2 linked regions of the Bombyx mori genome follow. The protein of the gene in region 1 purifies or fractionates together with the protein of each later gene. This does not show direct contact. Links are inferred from orthologs where the notes say so. Each region holds a gene or a part of one and is shown in the gene's direction. Other genes may lie near its edges. The genes, in order: protein bunched, class 2/F/G isoform; nuclear receptor-binding protein homolog.

Evidence for each region.
Region 2: the proteins of protein bunched, class 2/F/G isoform (region 1) and nuclear receptor-binding protein homolog purify together in Homo sapiens (affinity purification with mass spectrometry; 6 studies listed by BioGRID and IntAct, with this or other methods). This does not show direct contact. The link is inferred for Bombyx mori from reciprocal best matches to the Homo sapiens genes TSC22D1 and NRBP1.

What each region holds. Positions count from the first base shown.
Region 1 is NC_085111.1:3,741,517-3,751,955, reverse strand, and holds the start of protein bunched, class 2/F/G isoform, read left to right. Parts: upstream 1-3,742; 5' UTR 3,743-3,999; coding exon 4,000-6,731; intron 6,732-10,439. Other genes in the region: uncharacterized protein LOC101742662, read right to left, coding at 42-244, 720-883, 966-1,248. UniProt on the Homo sapiens protein: Transcriptional repressor. Acts on the C-type natriuretic peptide (CNP) promoter. Acts to promote CASP3-mediated apoptosis.
Region 2 is NC_085116.1:670,637-680,975, forward strand, and holds part of nuclear receptor-binding protein homolog, read left to right. Parts: intron 1-4,266; coding exon 4,267-4,491; intron 4,492-4,888; coding exon 4,889-5,019; intron 5,020-5,098; coding exon 5,099-5,277; intron 5,278-5,459; coding exon 5,460-5,634; intron 5,635-5,759; coding exon 5,760-5,878; intron 5,879-5,954; coding exon 5,955-6,108; intron 6,109-6,387; coding exon 6,388-6,574; intron 6,575-6,688; coding exon 6,689-6,808; intron 6,809-6,879; coding exon 6,880-7,008; 3' UTR 7,009-10,339. UniProt on the Homo sapiens protein: Required for embryonic development. Plays a role in intestinal epithelial cell fate and proliferation, thereby involved in the architectural development of the intestine potentially via the regulation of Wnt-responsive genes.

The sequences.
Region 1 (10,439 bases):
CGTATTTTTAATCATACGAAAGATTGCACGTCTCACATTACCTGCTGTTGGATAAGTTCGGTGGTTGGATCTTGTGGCTGATATGAAAGTCAAGGTCATCGTTTTCATCGTCTCCCGAAGGTTTCGTGAAAGGACTCTCTGGAGGCTTAAACAATTGACAGTGATCTACGCAACGGTCCAGTACAAAATCAACGGTTTCATCTTCATCAGGACACTCTCTGCTCGGACAAGGGCTCCACCAGATCTTAAATTAGCATTAAGATTTACGATCAAAATTACTTATAAACTCTCTATAAGCGTGTTTCAATTTGATTGTTAATACATTGTTGAGTGCATGCGCACATAACCTTGTGTTATACGTGCTAGCAATAAACGTTTAAGCCCTAGATATAAATAACGATGTCTTGGGAGGGGTGTTCGAGAAGTAATTTATTTCCATCAACGAACTGCAGACATGATTGTTTGAGTTCAGGTCACAGCCATTAAGGATCAAAATAAACGGATGGACGATAACAACAATCAAGGGTAAAGTCCAGCGTGCATAAATTTCGCTTAATTCCCTTAACTAATTCAAATACAGCGGATCACAAGACACTGCCAGTTAATTCGCTCAAAAACCGGATGACGTCGATTTGCTCAAATTCTACGGTACATACATACGTACGAAGCCAGTTTAACTTTTGTTTATCGTTTATTAGTAATCAAATTTAAATTAATACCTCTACACTGTTCGTGATCGGGTGTCTCATTACGTATGCCGATGGCATAACACCAGGCGTCTCCTGGTGAGGTATCAGAAGTAAAGAATGATGGAATGCGGCGTTCAAAATAAGAGCCGTTATCACAACAGGCTTATACTCCCCAAACCGATCCACCAAAAATCCTAGAATAATATCGATATCAAATTAATTTAAATTTTGAAATTAGCATCGAGTTTTTTTTTTCAATACTAGACCGGAACTCACCAGTTATCGGAGGACTAAGAAATGTCGTAAACGGTAAAGCTAGATAAACAAAAGATATTTCAGGAACAGTCAAACCTATACTCTGCATGTGAATCGTTAAATAAGGTAGAAGAGAAGCAGTAGCTCCGTACATCACAAAAAGAGTCACTTTTAACATAATTAAGTTCGGATTGATGCGCATCCAGACCATGAACCTCCCGATGCGGCCGAGTTCCTCGTCGCTGTACCCGTCCATGTTGGTATTATCTTCACTAGTTTTCTTGTCTTCGATCGACTTGGCCATATCCGAAGCACTCACATTCACATTTTCAAGACGCGTATGTTAGTACTCGGGCTGTATCTTATCGACTGCGGCCGGGATCGTTGGCTGCGACCGTCGGTGGTGCGACGTGACGATTGTTTACTTAAGTCCGATTTCTCAGTGAAAAGAGCTAGCTATCGAGCGATCGGAATCCACGAGGAGCCAGGGGGGTCCCGTGCTCTAGAACGACTGTGGCGCGGACGGTTCGCGGCGGACGTCGCTCTGTAAGCCAATTTACAAATAATAGCAAATTACCTTCGTTTAAGAAGTGTCACGGCGATTGGTGGGGATGTTGAGTAAATCGGCTGACCATCCGAAGACCTTGCCGGTAATAGTTTGGGGTCGGCCTGGGCGCTTCATGATCTGCGCCTTTAGTTTTATTCGAAGGTGCGGATAATCGCAACAACTCTGCGTTAATGTAAGTTTAGTCATATTTTCTTAACGTTTGCACTATTCTGTATAAATATAATACAGTGTAACATGTAAACTCATTAAAGTGTTTTTTGTAATTCTGAAGTCGCCGTAGCCTAAAGGATAAGACGGTTCATTCGTATCTTGCGATGCACCGGTGTTCGAATCCCGCAGGCAGGTACCAAATGTTCCAATAAAATACGTACCAAATGTTCACGATTGGCCTTAGAACTCTTATCTCAAGGTAGGTGGCGGCATTTACGTTGTAGATGTCTATGGGCTCCGGTAACCACTTAACATCAGATGGGCCGTGAACCCGTCCACAATAAAAAATATATTTTGTGACAGATTCCTTCTAATGTAGTAATCTAGAAATAAGTAGATAAGACATATATATATAAGCAGGTTACTTCACGTCCCATATGATTCAAAGCAGGTAACTATTACGTTGACACAGCGGCTCTGCTACTCTTCATACTGCACAACAAAAGATTGCTTCCTATACGAGGGCACGTAGGGATGCAGATATATCCTTATTGGCTCACCAACAGTAATTACGCATAGCTTTTGCGGGTTTGATTATTAGTACACGACGTACCATCATCGTGTAAGTAGTTCGTGAACACGTATATAAGAAATTGGCACCTGCCTGCGGTAATTGAACCCCAGTATTATCGCTTTACTAGAAACAAGAGTACGCCGACCGTAATCTTTTAAGCTATAACCACGTTAATATTGGGACTGATTTTCACATTATAACAAAAGCGGAACAACCGCATATGAAACAGGTAATATGGTAGAAAATATTTTCTCTAGCGTCATTATCCAAGGAGAAATGTGGGGTACACCTGTTTTTACTGGTGGTAGGACCTTTTGTGAGTCCGCACGGGTAGGTACCACCGCCCCGCCTATTTCTGCCGTGAAGCAGTAATGCGTTTCGGTTTGAAGGGTGGGGCAGCCGATGTAACTATACTCGAGACCTTAGAACTTCTATCTCAAGATGTGTTTTTTTTTTATTGCTTAGATGGGTGCACGAGCTCACAGCCCACCTGGTGTTAAGTGGTTACTGGAGCCCATAGACATCTACAATGCAAATGCGCCACCCACCTTGAGACCACCACCCGGGGTGGTGGTATCTACCCGCACGGACTCACAAGAGGTCCTACCACCAGTAAAGTAAGTTTGGCGCATTTACGTTGTAGATGTCTATGGGTTCCAGTAACCACTTAACACCAGGTGGGCTGTGAGCTCGTCCACACATCTAGGCAATAAAAAAAATAAAAACGCTTACCTAACGCGATTCTCCACACAATATGTATGGTACCGATTTCTGGATACGAATTTGTTACGATGGCAAGGACTTGACTTTCGATTGCGTCCCAATTGAAATGGATTACTCGTTGTAAAAAAACAGTTTCACTATTATTTTTATTAGAACAAGTATCCATTATTAAATACTCAACCTGAAAACAAAAACGAAAGAAACTTTTCCACACATTAAATCGAAAAAATATTGTATTGATTTATAGTTATTTCCTTGAAGCCAAAATATATTAACAAAATATTCGGTAGTTATTATTATTATTACATTTTTTTAGCATCAAAGACACAATTTAATTAATTTGTTGTAGTTGCGCGACATCTTGTGTCGAATAGGTACACTTATGCAGTCTTAAGAAGATTTGTAATTTTATTTTTGCTTAATCATAGATTATACACTTAATATATTTGAGTGCTTAATTATGCTTTAAGCTGCACCTGAGGTGGAACATACCTTTGCTTTAAGGTCCATACGCGATTAATAAAATGTCTAAATTATACGATTAGAAACAAATCACACTAGGTAGTAATCAAATTATTGATGATTTGTAGCATTTTTTTAAAGTATATTAAGTAACTCTTTTAAAGTGACTATTTAATGTAACTACTTTTTAAAGTTGTTAATAAAAAAAACTAAGAAAATTTTATTTTCCAGTAAGCGCCTTCTAGCAGACATTTGTATTTTGTCTCCATCTAGTGTTATTTTTAGTAAGCTTTTGTCAGTTACTCTATCTTGTCTATAGTCGACTGCAAATTGTCAACCATAGTGCATTGCGCATAAATGGCCGCCATGTTGCTGCCGTCTGAAAGATGTTCGCAACTGTATGTGTTTACTAATGAGTTTTGAAGACCTACATAGTTAAATTACTGTGTTTGTGAAATTGTGAGTGTACAATGATTTTATACCACATATATTGATGTGATTGTAAAGTAAATCAAATGTCTCTGAAGCCAATAGACAGTGAAATTTTCTTTAGATAGTCATTCGGTTCGGACGGCATAATGGCTGACAATCTGATTCAAAAGTCACATAAAACTAGTGAAAAAAACAAGTATAACAACGTCATACATCGTACAACGAGTGAATCTCTTCGGCTGAACGAGTCGGAGAAGGGAGTGACTCACCCCACAAGTCTGCAAGCCGCCCATAACCCAAGGAAAATATCTTCGTTTCAGATCACCAGTGTGACGCTCGGCTCCCGAGTGAGCACAGATGCAGGCGAAGACTCCGCTGATGATCTAGATGAATCTCACACCGACGACATATCACGGGTGACTGATATAGAGAATGAAACACCAAGTTTCTCGGAAGATACATTTTCTAAAGACGACGTGTTCTACAACGCGTCCAGCACATCTCTAGGCTGCGCACCTGTTATACCGACCAGCTCTCAATACGGACTCGCGATAGTCGGCCAGGACAACGCCAACAATCAGATAGGAAGTTCAGTGCCAAATAGTAATAACACAGAAGCGAATGATATGCACGTCAGTGTCACTAACGCAAGTGCTGGTAGCATTATTAATCTCATAGGAAATGCTAAACCTCAAGAAGGTATGAAAGAAATTCAAGAACATGTCAGAAATGAACGTTTCAAAGTTGTTAAAATTGAAAGTACCGAGCCGTTTAGAAGAGGTCGATGGATATGCATGGACTATCTTGATCATAGTACATCCCAGCAAAATGCACCCATCACATTAAATAACAATCAAGATGTAACTGAAACCAATACATTGCAAGCTCCCGATAGTGGTGTGGTGATAAATGATAGTCAGCATGATGAAGTGCCTAATGATCTATCAAATAAATGCCCTAATATGTCAGATCTCCAAGGAAATGCTCCTACAGTTCAGCAATTAGAGCAAGCTCTTCAAAAACAGTTCCCCATGGCCTCTCCGGGACAGTCACTAACTCAACCAATAAATGTAGTACAACAACAAATGCCCGTGTCACAGCCGATTACTGTTCAGTCTCCACCATTAGAAATGCCACAACAGATATCGAATCAAAATATGCAAGGGAGTCAACAAGTAGGTCAACAGCATCCACAAAGCATGACTCACATAACAATGCAGAATGCAGCGCAGGGGCATCCACAGCAAAACCAACAACAGCAAGTCCAACAAATCACACAAAATTTCCCACCACATCAGTTGCAGCAAGTCATTGCTCAGACACAGGGCATAACTATGCAACAAATACCTATGCATCAACAAATGCCACAACAGATGCAGCAAATGCCAAATCAACAAATGCAGCAAATGGGTCAGCATATCCCACAAGCACAGATTCCTAACATGCAGATGCAACAACAAATGCCACAAATGCAGGCTATGACGAACCAAGGACAAATGCCACAAGTTCCTACTCAGCAACCTCAGATGCAGCAAATGCAAATGCAACAAATGCAAGGCCAACCAAATCCACAATTACATATGCAACAAACCCAGATTACCAACATGGGTCAGAGTCACCATTTGCAAAGCCAACAGTCTATGGGCACTCAGCAAGCACAGTTGCAGCATTTGCCAAGTCAGGCACAAATCCAAGCTTTACAAAGTCAACAAATACCAAACCACATACAGCAGATGCAAATGCCAACTCAATTAACTAATACTAACCAGCAAATACCACAAATGCAAACACAGATGCATCAACTGTCTTCACAACAGCAGCAAACTGTTGTTCCTGGAATGCATCCTCAGATGAGTCAACAAGGCATGCCAACTGTCCAGCAGCAATATAACCAAGCTGTAAATCAACAATCCACTGCACAGTCTATGATCAATCCTAATATGCCTTCATCTCAGCCACAAATGGTACAACACAGTGTACCTCAGTATCATACTCAACAATCGCAAATGAGCCAACAAGGCCAGACTTTACCACAAGAGGTGCTCTCAACTATTGTTACTTCTCAGCAAGGTGCAACACTTCCTACAAACCTCCAGCCTATGGCTTCTCAACCCCAAGGTACAACTTTGCCTGCGAATCTCCAAAGCCTTGCTGGACAACAACCCACCACTAATGTTCACCCAATGGCCCCACAACAAGGAAATGTTCCTCAAGGAAACTTGCAGATGATGTCTGCCCCACCCCAGAATATGCAGATGACTCTGGACGGGAATCAGCCCAGTATGCAGATACCCGCCACAGATCCTATATTCATGCAAACTACGAATGTCGGACAGCAATTACCTGTTGGACAACATATGGCCCAACAGAATATGTTACCACAACAAGTAGGTGGCCAAGGTCAGATGGGGGCAGTTCAGTATGTACCGAATCAGTCAGTGACAATGGCACATCAGAACATGTCAATGTCAATGCAGCCTACCATGCCTGTGGGAATGGGCAGCGGAGTGCATCCAAATGTGGTGCCATCGCAGACAAGCATGGGTCTGGGTTACGGAGGTGTTGTGCCAGTCATGTCTCAAAGCAATGTAGCTCCTGTAGAGGCAACTGTATCAGGAACCAACTCGCCGGTAGTGTCATTACCAGTAAACTCGACTGCATATGTGACGAACACACAACCAGGACATGACAGTCAGGGCTTTGGCAGCCCTGTGAGTGCGGTAGTGTCTCATGCGATCAGTGGTGCGGTGGTAAGCAATGTGAATGTGAATGCATGTGAAAGTGGTGCTCCTGATGTTTCTGCTGAGGCGATGCAACCTGGAGATATAGGCGATGGTAAAGAGGAAACCCAGAATGCACCACCTACAGAGGATGAAAGGTATGTCAATTTAAAAGATTATGTTTATAGAAACTATTCATATATAAACAATAATGCGAATTTTTATTTTCAAACTCAATTCCAAATAGAATTATAAGTTTGTGGTATTTAAAGAAATCAGAGGCCCTCAGCGTAAATGGTTCGACGGGAAAAATAAAATTGTGTTGTCTTTAGTTTTTCTTGTACTTTCTGAAGTGTGTTTAAATTTATTAGAATATAGTAAAATATTCTGAAAAATAAACGGGTATATCTAAAAATAAATTTGAACTACTTGGGTAGTTTTTAAAATGCATAATATGGGCTTGTAGAGATACAAGTTACCTGTACAGATTAGAGATAAATAAGGTCATTCAAGTTGTAACTGTTTAAGATGAAGACCAAATGTAAAGACCACTATACAAACCATAATTTTAAGTGCAAGGAAAAAATAATCACATCATCTCTTAGCTTAAAGATTTTCCTCTGGTAGGGGGTAGGTGGCTAAAGAAATCTTGAATAATTTATTGAAGGTTGTCTGTGGTCAGTGACCTTCCTGTATTACAAGAACCAGACTCATGACTTTATTGGAATAAGTTTAATAGATATTTGTTATTAATGGTCTCCTATGTATTCTTGTTCCTGTCGCTTTTTAATTTTTCCAGACCCCACTATGCTGGAGAATATCCTACCTTGAAAATAGTCTTAACAAGTTTTGTTATTAATTTTACCAAAATACACTACTATAAGATAATCAAGTATTTTCTGTAGAGAAAAAGTTAAATAAAGCTATCATATTTTGTTATGATATTGATAACCAACTCGGACCAAACCTGGCTAACTTTTGGCTTGAGTTTTGAAGTGTTCCAAACTAATGAAATAGGATCCCTGCAATACTGATTACAGATATGAAGATGTGACACACAGCCTATGACCTAAATTTTCAAAACAAATGTTTGTATCAAAGACACAACAGGACACTCAAGAAATACCATAAAGAGGAGTTCTCATTCCAGAATTGGATGTGTGGCTTAAAAATATAATGGAACATACTATACTATAGAGGAATGTTGTAGTAGTATAGACTCTGCTCTGGTGGCAGATTGTGCGATGATGGGATCACCTTAAATAATAACTCGGAGCACACTCCTTTATATCTAAAGATAATTAAATTAAAACCTAAACAAAACTGATTCTTAGACCATGTTTCTTAAGGTATTTGGCTGCATTCACATATTAATATTTATGGGGTATGGTAATCACTAGACCTTGAACTTTCTAAGAAAATCTACAGTAATTACTGTAAACTAAAATAACCCCACACATTCTAATGTTAAACTTAATTACTGTAATGGCTCAACGTTTAGGCCCTCAAGGGGTAGCAACTATAATTATGTGTTTATTTATTTATTAGACAACATTTTTAAAAAAGTTTACAAATTAAATAACAATGATTTTTTTTTGTACACAAAAATGTAGTATGTGCAACTAGTTTAAATATTCCCTAAGCATGGAGTTCTTGAAATGAGTTTTTATTGTCTTCCAAAACAGTATCATGATCGCTAAATCAAACTCGAAGAATTTCTGTGAAATTCCTTGTAACTTGAAAGGATAGGTTTTGTTAAGCGAATCTGGAATCTATTTGCGAATATAACTCCGAGTAGAGACAATGGTGTTTGTTTGATTTGCTTTCGTTGGTCGCTGCTTCGCCGCCGGCCGGAATCCGACGTCCCTTTGATGCTGTTTATTTGTGCTTCGTCCTGCGACATAAATAGGCGGTTGACACGTACGCATGCTGAGTGCATGGTGCTGGCCGGTATGTTGGTGACTCACGCGCCTCACATCTCTACGGTAACGGATTAAAGGCGTCGACCGTGCGCTCCTTTTCGTCTGCCTAACTCGATCGTGTACACCTTTTTTATTTGACAATGACGCTCGATTTCACTTTTTAATGTGTTAGACAACATACGACTTTTTCTATTCGTTACACCGGTGTACTCGCTCACAGCTCACTTTGTGTTACCGGAGTAAGAAGCTACGAAAACCAATAGGCATGAACAACGTAAATGCCGACATTTTAAGAATTTTGAATTTAATTAACACAATAAAATCTCACGCGCGAAATAAAGTAGTAATTATATAAAACTACGTTGATTTAAATGGAATTTATTTTAAAATTAATTATTTCCTTAACTTAGTGTAGCCGCAGAAAAAGATACAAACGCCGGCGCTGCAGCGTCAGAGGCGACGTTGGTAATCTAGTATGGAATCGAAGGTCGCGAAATCTGAACCTTCCACGCGCTCCTGATCAAACATCGTCGAACATATACGTGCTTAGAATATAAACAATTCATTTTAGATATCATACTGCCAATATTTTGTATTAAAAAACATAACAGAATTAGACTAAATCGAAATTTCAAGAATCTGAGTCAAAATTATAAAAAAAGTATGTTATTTAAAATGACTAATATGCTGTGACTTATAGTGAAAAGTGTTGAAAGATGTTTTCCAACATTTTAAACTGGTGTTTTATGACTTAAAATAGCTCTTATGTCAGCACCTTTTATTTTATTGCTTGTTAAGATTCCACGAGTTTTTCAATGGCCCATTGTCTGAACTTACAGTTGATCCTGTTCATTCACGGAAATACCAACGTTTATGGCTCGTTGGATGAATAGCATCAAAGTGTGGATACTTTCCAAACTTATTCGTATCACGAGAATATCTTTTTGTGATTTATAAATACAATGCAAAAATACTTTCTATGTCAAGTTTATGAAAATTATCTAACGATATACACCTGTTTCGGCTCGTTCCTACCGTTTAGATAATTTATCGCGCCCGTATTTTATAGAAAACTAGCGACCCGCCCTGGATTCGCTTCGGAAACATTAAATTTTATATTGATAGGCGAAGCCCGCCATATTGCGAGCGGTACGACAATAACTGCGGGTAACGCCGCGGGGCGAAGCTAGTCTAAAAAAAGTTACTCCTTAGATCATCAGCTACCTATTAGTGAAAGTCTCATCAAAATCGGTCCAGCCGTTCCAGAGATTAGCCGGAACAAACAAACAGACAGACAGACCGACAAAAATACTAAAAAATGTTATTTTGGTGTATGTACCGTATATATATTCGTATGAATGTAGTAAAAAGCGGTTATTTCAATACCACAAACAGACACTAATTTTATTTATATGTATGTATAGATATTCGAATACTGTTAATCGTGGAAATGAAACTCAAAGAACACATGTGTCTGTCGTCCATCTGCTTGACATATCACATCTAATTGGACGTTTTGTACCGAGTTGACAATTCGAGAGAGGCGTCCGGGCGCGCGCATTTTCTAAATATGCGATGCAATCTATTGGCGTGCTTATATTGGAGAAAGTGCATACACCAAATGCTTTCTTCGCTGCAATCTTAGTAAACGTTATTGTCTAATTACTTAAACTGCACGAATTTAAAATATTTGATTGTGCAATTTCTTTAATTAAGTCAAATTTTTGAGTAACAGTGAAGTTTATTGCTTGAAAAAATTAAACTGTAAGATTTTATTGCTTTGTACTTATGTCGCTTTTGTCAGTGAATCACTACAATTGACACAGAGAACTAAGAATACCGTTTTTGTCAGCATAAATCATTTAAAATGCATTCATTATTAAAGTTGGTGGTAGGACCTCTTGTGAGCCCGCGCGGGTAGGTACCACCACCCTGCCTATTTCT
Region 2 (10,339 bases), on another chromosome or scaffold:
TTTATGGTGTAATCATTTGAACACTTGGATAATGTTTGTAGGATAACGACAATGGGAAAATCTTCCACCGAGCGGGTGAAATTGCTCGGTATTCCGACGGTCCCAATGTTATTGTTCAGAACTTGTTTAAACATATATGCAAACTTTTTTGAAAATGTCGTTTGCGAGATTCAGTCGTCTTTCAAATATCTTGTGTTCTATAATAACTACCGCCGCAAAAGCTATATTCGTATTATATAGTTATTATATTTGTCGTTATTTGCGAAATTTTCACTTTTTCATTTCTTAATAATGATTTCTCTGGTTTGCGCCTTTTTTTTATTGCCTAGATGGGCGGTTGAGCTCACAGCCCACCTGGTGTTAAGTGATTACTGGAGCCCATAGACATCTACAACGTAAATGCGCCACCCACCTTGAGATATAAGTTCTAAGGTCTCAGTATAGTTAAAACCGCTGCCCCACCCTTCAAACCGAAACGCATTACTGCTTCACGGCGGAAATAGGGAGGGTTGTGTGGTGGCACCTACCCGTGCGGACTTACAAGAGGTCCTACCACCAGTAAATATGGTCCCTTATGTCTGTTATTAAGATATGTTGGTTGTTAGGCTAATAAATAACACCATTTATAACTATTTGAAGATTAATGTAAATAATTTAAATCAAACTCACTGGCTCGTAACACAAGTTAATAAACTTGGCAAAATATTAGGGTGTTGAAATCAGAACTAAGAAATTTATTAGGGTAGGATGCGGCAATCCAATTAGAGTTTCCATCGTCCGAGTGGCCCTGTTGCGAATCCACTAGCAGCGCTGGTTCGACTCGTGACGACTGACCGTTTCCCGTCGCTCGTTGCTTTATTAGCTGCCGTAAATTTCGTAGGTTTGGCGTGTCTCGTCTTGATGTTCATTAGCGAGGGGTCGACGATTTCATGACATGAGACATGGTTGTTGTCTATTATTATTATTCTCGTCTCTCATGAAACTCGGAATATTGGTTTAGACAATAAGGGCATTCTTTAAACGTATTATCATGACCTTGATTTCGTTCCTGCAATTGTGAGTTCTTAATGTCGTCATAACTCATTAAATATTGTCAACGTATACTTTAATCATGTAATTAAATACAAAAACGCAACCCCGATCTCTATCGACTGCTTCTAACTTCTTCTAATCCCCTATTATCCTTATTATTTTAATATCAAATAACCTCCCCTAATACCTCGACCTCTGCTCTATCTATTTGTGCCAATAATCTTTACCACATGAGTCAACGAAGTATATTATACCCTAGTTTAACTTATCGGATAGTATAAATGCAATAAATTTAGTGTTCTTTATTGTATAAGTAAACATTTTTATTAGTAACACAATTGAATTTGGTCAATTTGACTGGTGTTCTTACATCATATCATTTATGGAAGAAAAACAATAGAATACAAATAAGTTTCAAATAAATAATACATTTGTAAAGTCTTCTAAAGGTATCGGGTGAAATTTTAAGAAATATTATGAGCTTCTAAAAGAGCGACAATAAATGAGGAGAACAATACAGTTCGGTAGAATTCGATGAATGCATTGTTTGCGGTAAACCGATTAGTATCTTTTAAATAGTACGTATTTAAGCTACAAAGCATTATTTTAAATGTATTATTTATTTGAATTTTAACTGTAAACATACATTTAGATACAAAACAATTCGCTTTGAGGAGTCCAACACAAACTAATATTACAGTTTATGAAAGGTTTTTACTGCAGGTTTTTTTTCGCTGTTCAAAAAGCGAGTTAATTTGTCGCGGAACAAATAAATATTTCAACAATTATTACTTGTTCATATTAATATTTCAACAATTATTACTATTCTACTTGTTAAATTTGAATCTCAGAGTATGTTTTCATTGGGTAATCTCTTTTTTTTATTATTATTATTGTATTCCATCTTCGAGCCGATGAATTGCCAATGTTATGTACGCCATTATTGTCACATGCAACAGGCCATAAATTAAATAGTTTAAGTTATTTTCAATGTTAAACGTTTGTGATGTGGCAGTACCTTTTTAAATAAATAAATGAACAACCCTTTATTCATTTATGGGAACGAAGCAATCATATTTTCCTTTCCGCATTCGCTATTTCGATTGCTAATCTCTAACACTTCTCCATTACGTTCGTTGAAAGTCATTGCACTTAATAATATTCGCTTTGTAAACATTAATTTCAATTGTTCGACAGCACCTGTTGCTTTTAAACCAAAACATCGTAACAATAATATACTTGTAGTTTTTCCGTTTATTGCCGACTGAATCATACGTTCGGTCCTATGAAGTCGGTTGTTAACTGGTCTACCTAATTACTCTGAAAGCTATCGACCAAGCTCACGACTTTCGGTATCTAATCTATTATCTTAGGTAAAATAAGAAAGCACAAAATGTAAAAAGCACGGAATGGGATCGAACCTTGTATTTCACTGCCCGAACAAACATCCAGCACAGAATAACTGTTTGCCTTCTGGCTTTACAGTCCCTCTTTCGAAGAATTTCAAGAAACCAACGATGATGAAATAGATGGTAGATTAATATAAACTACACACCTAACCTGCCAGAATGGACAAACCCTATACCTATCAACACCTATGAAATATAATGATTAGTTACAAGAAAATTTCAAACAACATTAACGATTTAATATCAACATGCACTACGCAAACAATGCAACACAATTATTATTGGACCTTGCAACCGGCACTTATCGTCCGTTGCACTCGGCTCTGCATTATAAACGTTTCTCTATCAATTCGAACAATTATAATAATACGTTTCAATTATACAAACGATTGTTTTGGTTACATTCGAATAATAGCTATTGTATACTTCGAATGGAACTACCCTACCCGACTTACTCTAAATCCAATAAGATTTTTATTCAAAGAACGTCTTTCACAGCTCACTACTTCACACCGTAGCTGTACTATTTTACAGCTTTCCACACACTATTTTCTTACGTTTATCTAACTAAGTAGCACACGCTGGTAAAGCAGCCAATGATGTAGTAACGAACGCTTAGTCTAAGATCAAGTTTCTTTAATTATCTTCTTCTTGCCTTTATACCACATTATATGGGGTCGGCGCCGCATGTCCTGTTATCATGCTGCATAGGCACCTGACACCTTACGACCGGCTGCCTTCAATGCAACGTGTCTTTGCAAGGTCCTAGAGGGACCTTTTCTGTTTCTTCTTCTGGTGTTTCTTTTACTTCATCCGTTTATGGTTCTATAACTTGCATCTTATTATTATAAATTGTTACACTAAAATTTAGATTTTCAAATACCAAAACGATGGTCGTCAGTAGTAGTCGTGTCCTAAAGAATAAGACGTCCGGTGCATTCGTACCTAGTTCATCCATACTACCTTGCCTAAAAACAGTGCCTTCATCCACGGTGTGTTTTCAGAGAACTTTTCTGCCCCTTCTTATCCTCCTGCTTTGGAATGAACTTCTCTCCTCGGTTTTTCCTGAGCCTTCCTGAATGGGTAGGCAACGCATTGGTTGTGTCCCAAACATTGTTGACGTCCATGTGCCACGGTACCCACTCTCTATCAAGTGGGCCGTATGCTCGTCAGTTTACAAAATTCAATAAGAATATGTCTACGATTCGCAATAACCGCAGATCATAATATCACAAATCACGTTAACAAGTCAAGTTTTCAATGCGTTATCAATTGCGGACGGCGCGGCGTGGAATATTCTCATACATTGCGCAGGAGTTTCAATTGGATGATTGGTCATACAGAAAGGATGACCGGTAATTTGACCATGTATGTACATAATGTAACGTGATTGTTCGCTTTCAACGACGCAATGATTTCGTTTCATTCAATGTTGTATTACAATGTAAGGATGGTATCTTTAGCCGAAGTCAGATCAGGATATCTATCCATCTCCATACATTTAGATTTAGAACCCTAATAATTTTTTCACATACATTCAATTTTTTTTGTAAATCTACCCCATACACTTTTGTGTGTGGCATGTTGACATAGCTGCCCATAGACACGAGAAAGCGGATGCCGCCGTCTACAGACATGCCCTAGTGATTACATGTTTGTGTAATGTAATAACATCTTCAGAAAAAAGTACCTTTTATTATCGCTTCTGTGATTCAGATATACCATTAATTAGAGCGATCATAAGGGACTTCAATATCAATTAATAATGAAATCGAGCTTGCTGCCATTTTTACAGTATCTTAATATAAATTTATTACTATTTCAGGTTGAACAACGCGATGTGCCCGGTATTGACTGCGCCAACCTTGCGATGGACACCGAAGAGGGCGTGGAAGTCGTGTGGAATGAAGTCCAGTTCTCCGAGCGGAAGAACTTCAAAGCTCAGGAAGATAAGATACAGACGGTGTTCGACAACCTGACCAGGCTTGAACACCCTAACATCGTCAAGTTCCATCGATACTGGACTGACACGCATAACGACAAACCCAGGGTATGCATTTCAATTTTACTCGCTATTCTTAATGGACCGTTTCTCAATTATATATTTATGCTACATTGTGATATAATTATAAGGTAATGCCCCCAACGACAGAATGCAGCTTAACACACATTTCTTAAAAGATATGAAGGGACCGTATGAAATACACGAACAGTCGAAACCTTTCGGATTTAGCGAGCTCTAGCAGTCAATTAACAATTTTAGGGTTTGTGTATCTCTACATCGCCTTTTACGATACCCACGGTAAGCTACCACCACAACCACCCCAAAGGCCAATATCCTAGGCCAATGCCAAACAGCTGTAGCAGTATGAAAATATTAAGGGAAGAAATAACATATAGGCAAAAATCGGAAAAGTCGACTAATTGATATCCATTGATTATTTCAGGTAATTTTCATTACTGAGTACATGTCGTGCGGCTCATTGAAGCAGTTTCTGAAGAGAACGAAGCGCAACGTGAAGAGGCTGCCCCTCCAGGCGTGGAAGCGATGGTGCACACAGATACTATCTGCATTAAGGTACAAGTTCGTTTGGGCTTACTTGAAATATCTCGTTTTCATAACTCACGTATTTCATTCGTTGAAATTCGATTTTCAGTTATCTCCACGGCTGTGTTCCGCCGATCGTCCACGGAAACCTGACCTGCGACACCATTTTCATCCAGCATAACGGCCTGGTGAAGATCGGCTCTGTAGCGCCCGACGCAATTCACCACCACGTCAAGACCTGCCGCGAAAATATGAAGAACATGCACTTTATCGCCCCAGAATATGGATGTAAGTACAGCGATAAGCTGCCATTCTAGCACCGAGACTACAAAGTTTCCTTTGCTTTGGTTTTGAGCTTTTTGCTTCTTTCAACTCTGCGGATTTAATCAAACGAGGCAAAACGCAAACACCACAGCAACGGAAACTCTGTGGTCAGATATTCATTTCACGTTTATTTCCCCTTGAATTAGCATCTCAAATGGTGACGCCAGCAATGGATATCTACTCGTTCGGAATGTGCGCTCTGGAAACCGCAGCCCTCGAAATCCAAGGAAATGGAGACTCTGGCAGCCACGTCACGGAGGAACACATCATACGGACGGTCGAATCGTTGGAGGATCCCAGACAGAAGGACTTTATATACAGGTATATTAGCTTCTCTGTGTTCTTGTTCGCAGGTTCCGTGTAAACGGTAAGTCAGGATTCTCTCTGCTCTTCGGTGAACTGATGGCGTGTTCTGGTGTTGATATGTCTGGGTCTTGTGTTCGCAGGTGTATAAACCAGCATCCCGAGAAGAGGCCGACGGCGAGAGAGCTGCTCTTCCATCCACTGCTGTTTGAAGTCCATTCCTTAAAACTGCTGGCGGCCCACACGCTGGTTAATACAACCGGTAAGGATTTCTGCTCTGACTGGCGTAGCAAAATCAGAATCGAGATATTTCAATGTTTTTTTTTTTTTCATTTCAGCTAATATCTCCGAAACTATAACTGACGAAGTGACCGGCGGCAGCAGCGGCGAGGCGCTGGCGTGGTGCGTGCGCGGCGGGGAGCGCGTCGAGATCGCGGCCAAGGACCTCCAGCCGCACGCTGAAAAACTAGAGAAATTTGTCGAAGACGTCAAGTAAGTGACTTTAGAAAAATGATTGTGCGAGGTTCGGACGGACGCCAACCGCCACCTCCGCGCCCGTATTTATACTTTCAATTTGTGAACTCAAACTTTCTTTTTTCAACTCAAACGATATTTTTGCGTTTCTTTAGCTGTGTGATTTTTTTAATTTGTTTTGTTTGACTCTCAGTGCAAGTAAAATAATTGCTTTAGTTAGAACATGAATGTTTCTAAAGTAGACTAACAGAAATGGCACTAGTAAAACAGAGCATGAGTCGATCGTCCGGTCCCCAGGTACGGCATCTACCCGCTGACGGCGTACGGGTCGGGGGCGGGGGGCCGCGCCTCGTCCCCCGAGCGCGCCCCCGCCCCCGCCGCCTCGCCCCCCCCGCGCGACACCGAGTCCCGCCGCGTCGTGCACATGATGTGCAACGTGGCGCCGCCGCCGCGACACAGCGACGCGCCCGACCACGACCTGCTGGTACGTACGCAGCGTCGGGACTGTCCAGTCTACACATGAGCCACTTGCTTTGTAATCACCGCCGCTCAGTATGCGACTTCACTAAACGCACAGTACGCGGCCCGTCCGTTGCAGATGACCATCATCCTGCGCATGGACGACAAGATGAACCGGCAGCTGACGTGCGCCGTGTCGCGCCGGGACTCCGCGTCGCACCTCGCGCGCGAGCTGGTGCAGCTCGGCTTCATCCACGAGGTCAGCCCGCCTCCCTCGGCGCCAGTCGGTAGGCACATGCGCTCGGTGACTCACTGTTGAACTCTGCACAGGCGGACCGCGACAAGATCTGCCGGATCATGGAGGAGTCCCTCCGCGCCAGTTTCCCCCCGGCGGCGGAGCCCCCCGTGGCGGCCCCCCCGGCGGCGGCGGCCCGCGCGCCTCAGCACGTGGCCAGCTAGTGCGGCGCCCCCCCGCCCGCGCGTCCCCCCCTCGCCTCGCGCGCAGCTCCGCGCGGCGGTCGGTCGTCGGAGGTGTGTTTTGTTTATTGCAAAAATCTCTTACGATTTTTACTGGCTCTTTGTAATGTAAATCTAGAGTTCGCAGCGTAGCCTCGGGTATCTGTAGTGTACTTTATGTATGTATCTAAAATCGTATGTAAATTTTTGTATCAAACACGGTTTGTAAATTAGTGTATGAAACCAAATTCGATAAATAATGTGATGTTGAGCTATCAGCGAGCGAGCCGCGCCCGTGGACAGCTGCTGTTGTCTCTCGGCTCAGTGCAGCACCTCCAACTCAAACTATACCCTAAATTACCCGTCCACTAAAATTTTCAGTTTCGTTTTATTACTTTATATGTGTGCGCTGAATATTTTCCAATATTGTCCTTTTTAAGTTGAATTATGTAACATAAATATGTAACGCGTGTGTGCTCACGAGCGCTCACGGTTTTCCATCTACAAGCAATGAAAACAAAACGCTGCAACAAGGTTGTGTGTAACGAGCAAAATAAAGAATTAAGAAAATTTCAGCAAAATTACCACTTGCAAAGAGCCCACTTGGCCGCATCACGCGTGAACATCCGTGATCATCCGTGACCATTCGTGAGCATACTTGAACAAACAGGCGCAAGTATGATGCGTGCTCTACTCGATATCCAAACGTCTTATCGATTTTAGAACATCTAGTTGTTTATGTCGTTATGTGTAATGATAGACGGCTACGGCTGCGGTGAGCCGGCGCGGTCCTGCGCGCACTGCGGACTGCGCGAGGCACAGCTCGGCCTCGCGATCGAACCAGCGGGTCTAGCAGCCGGATTAGAAACAAATCAATTAAATAAATTGAGCGCTATTATCAAAAATGTATTTTAAAATGTTAGCAAAGTAATCAAGTCAGCCTCGGGTCGGGGACTCGACCGGCGGAGGTTCGGTATTAGACGAGTATTTGTCCGATTTTTGTTTAGATTCATGTGAATACCGATGTACATGAAAATAAGCCTGCACTGATTAATAAATTTTATGAAATGAAAACTAAAACGTTATGTGTTGTAAAGAACCTTTCCTTATTTCAAATTGATGGACCTCTCGTGGTTTGCTCAGGCCCCCGCGCCGGTCCCCTCGTCGGCCCCCTCCGCCGGAATAATCAAATTGCTAGTCGAGTGTGAATCTAAAAACCGGACTGACCGAATCGTTAAGGAAAAAAATAGTTGAATATTGAAAATTATTTAATCGACAATGATTCGGCGAAGGTTTATAGTTGTTAGTGTGTACATCGAGAATGCTTTAGTATAGAAACTTTTGTATGAATGTGTAAATGTTACAAAAATGATATTTAATTAATATAATAATATATAAATAAATGTGAAACTTTAAAAAAAAACATTAATCGTAATCTGTATAGTGAGGCTTCCTTTTAGAGCTTTATGGACGTGGTATACGGGAAAATGAACATACTCACTAAGTGTTTAAGGTCGAAATTTATTTGTTTAGCGTTGGTTTTTTAAATGTGCAATAGTTCTCAAACTTCCTCTTTAAATCGGCGCTCACGCACTTGTTGGATACGCCTAGAGTCGTGGTCAATTCTGTGATCGCGAAAACTACTTGAATACGTATTCTCTTGAAGGAAGCATTAGAGTGTGTGTGGAACGATCGTCTCGAGTTTGAAATCTATTGTACTTTTAAGATTCAAAATTATTTTTTTGTAAATTTTTGTACATTTTACAAGTCGGTCAATGTGAGTGCAGTAGGGCACGTAGGCTGCGCCGACGCAGAATTAGTTTATGAACAAGTCAATTTCAATAGAATAATGCCTTTTTTAAATAAAATACTTATTTACAACTGCATTTAAACGATTTAATTGTCGCGATTCCGATCGTCGTGCGTTGCTCGCACGCGGACACGTTTAATGACAGTTATCAAACTTGAGGTTTAATGACAGCTGTCAAACTTGACGTCACTGCGAAGTGTAGCCCGACCGGACCTCGTTGGTGAGTGGCTTCTGCGACCCTCGCAGCAGAGGGTGGACCCCATCACCCTGTTTATTTTCAACAAAAACAGGTTATGGTGTGGTTCTGTGGTAAAGTGCAAGAAGTGGATCGGGCAGCGCCCCCAGTGGCCCACGGACAGCGGTCAGGCGGACACCACTCGCGACGACATTTTGTGCTTTTGTTTTCTTAAGGAAGGCACCTTGTTCCTATTTTTTATTTCGGTGCTGATTGTGAAATATCTTTTTTTTGTTTTTTCTTTGATAGTTGCAATTACACGTTTTAAAATAAATCTCTTGCAAAAAACAGTAACAAAAAATAACGCAGATCTTTATCCAATGTTCGTGTGTTTCGTTGAATGCTAGTGGTGCCAAACTTACAAGGTGCCAATAAAATGTTACGGAATTCTATCACATTACACGCTTCACGATATCAACTGTACACTGTATTTTAGTACCAAAAATAATAAATTGTTTCTTGTCCCTTCCATCTCTACACCGCAGCAACAATAAAGCTGAATATTATCCGAAAAAACAGAATTGTTGGCAAACATTTTGTTATTTGTTCTTATTCGTTGCGTATAGACTCGAACTGCATCTAAAAATATGTACAATTACTTTTCCTCATTTTCTGCTCATTTATTTTTGGTACCTACTTAAAACGAGCGATGTATAGTTAGGGAAGTAACAAAACGTTCGCGTTCTCTTCATAATTTCAAATTGTAAGCTTTTCACGTTTGAAGTCGTGGACACAAATACGTACGTCGTCCGGCGACCTGCGAACTGATTCTTATACTTCATTTACTAGTTTCTAAACCTGCCAACTTCCAGCACTTCCTGCCCGTCGCGTAGATCAGGAGTCGTTACTGAAATTTATGAAAATTGCATTGAATATATATTTTTAAGTACGTTGCTGACCGGCCGACGCACGGCCCTCACACAGACAGCTCGCGTCACGCCGTCGGCCGCTAGTGACGGGCCGCGTCACGCCGTCGGCCGGTAGTGACGGGCCGCGTCATGCTGTCGGCCGGTAGTGACGGGCCGCGTCATGCCGTCGGCCGGTGTAGCGGCACGGCGGTGACTCCGCAGGAGCACGGAGAGCGCGTTTATATGAACTAGAAGCGGTCTTCCATTTCATATAAAACAAGATCTCCCGCGCGGCCGCCGCTGTGTCTGTGCCTGTGTACCGACTTGCTTTTTTTATTTTATTATGAAATTATCTTGAATCTTGCTTATGATTTTAAACTATATATATTTTGCACAAACCTGAAGTTTTGAGATTTTGATTCAATATATTATAATGTTTTT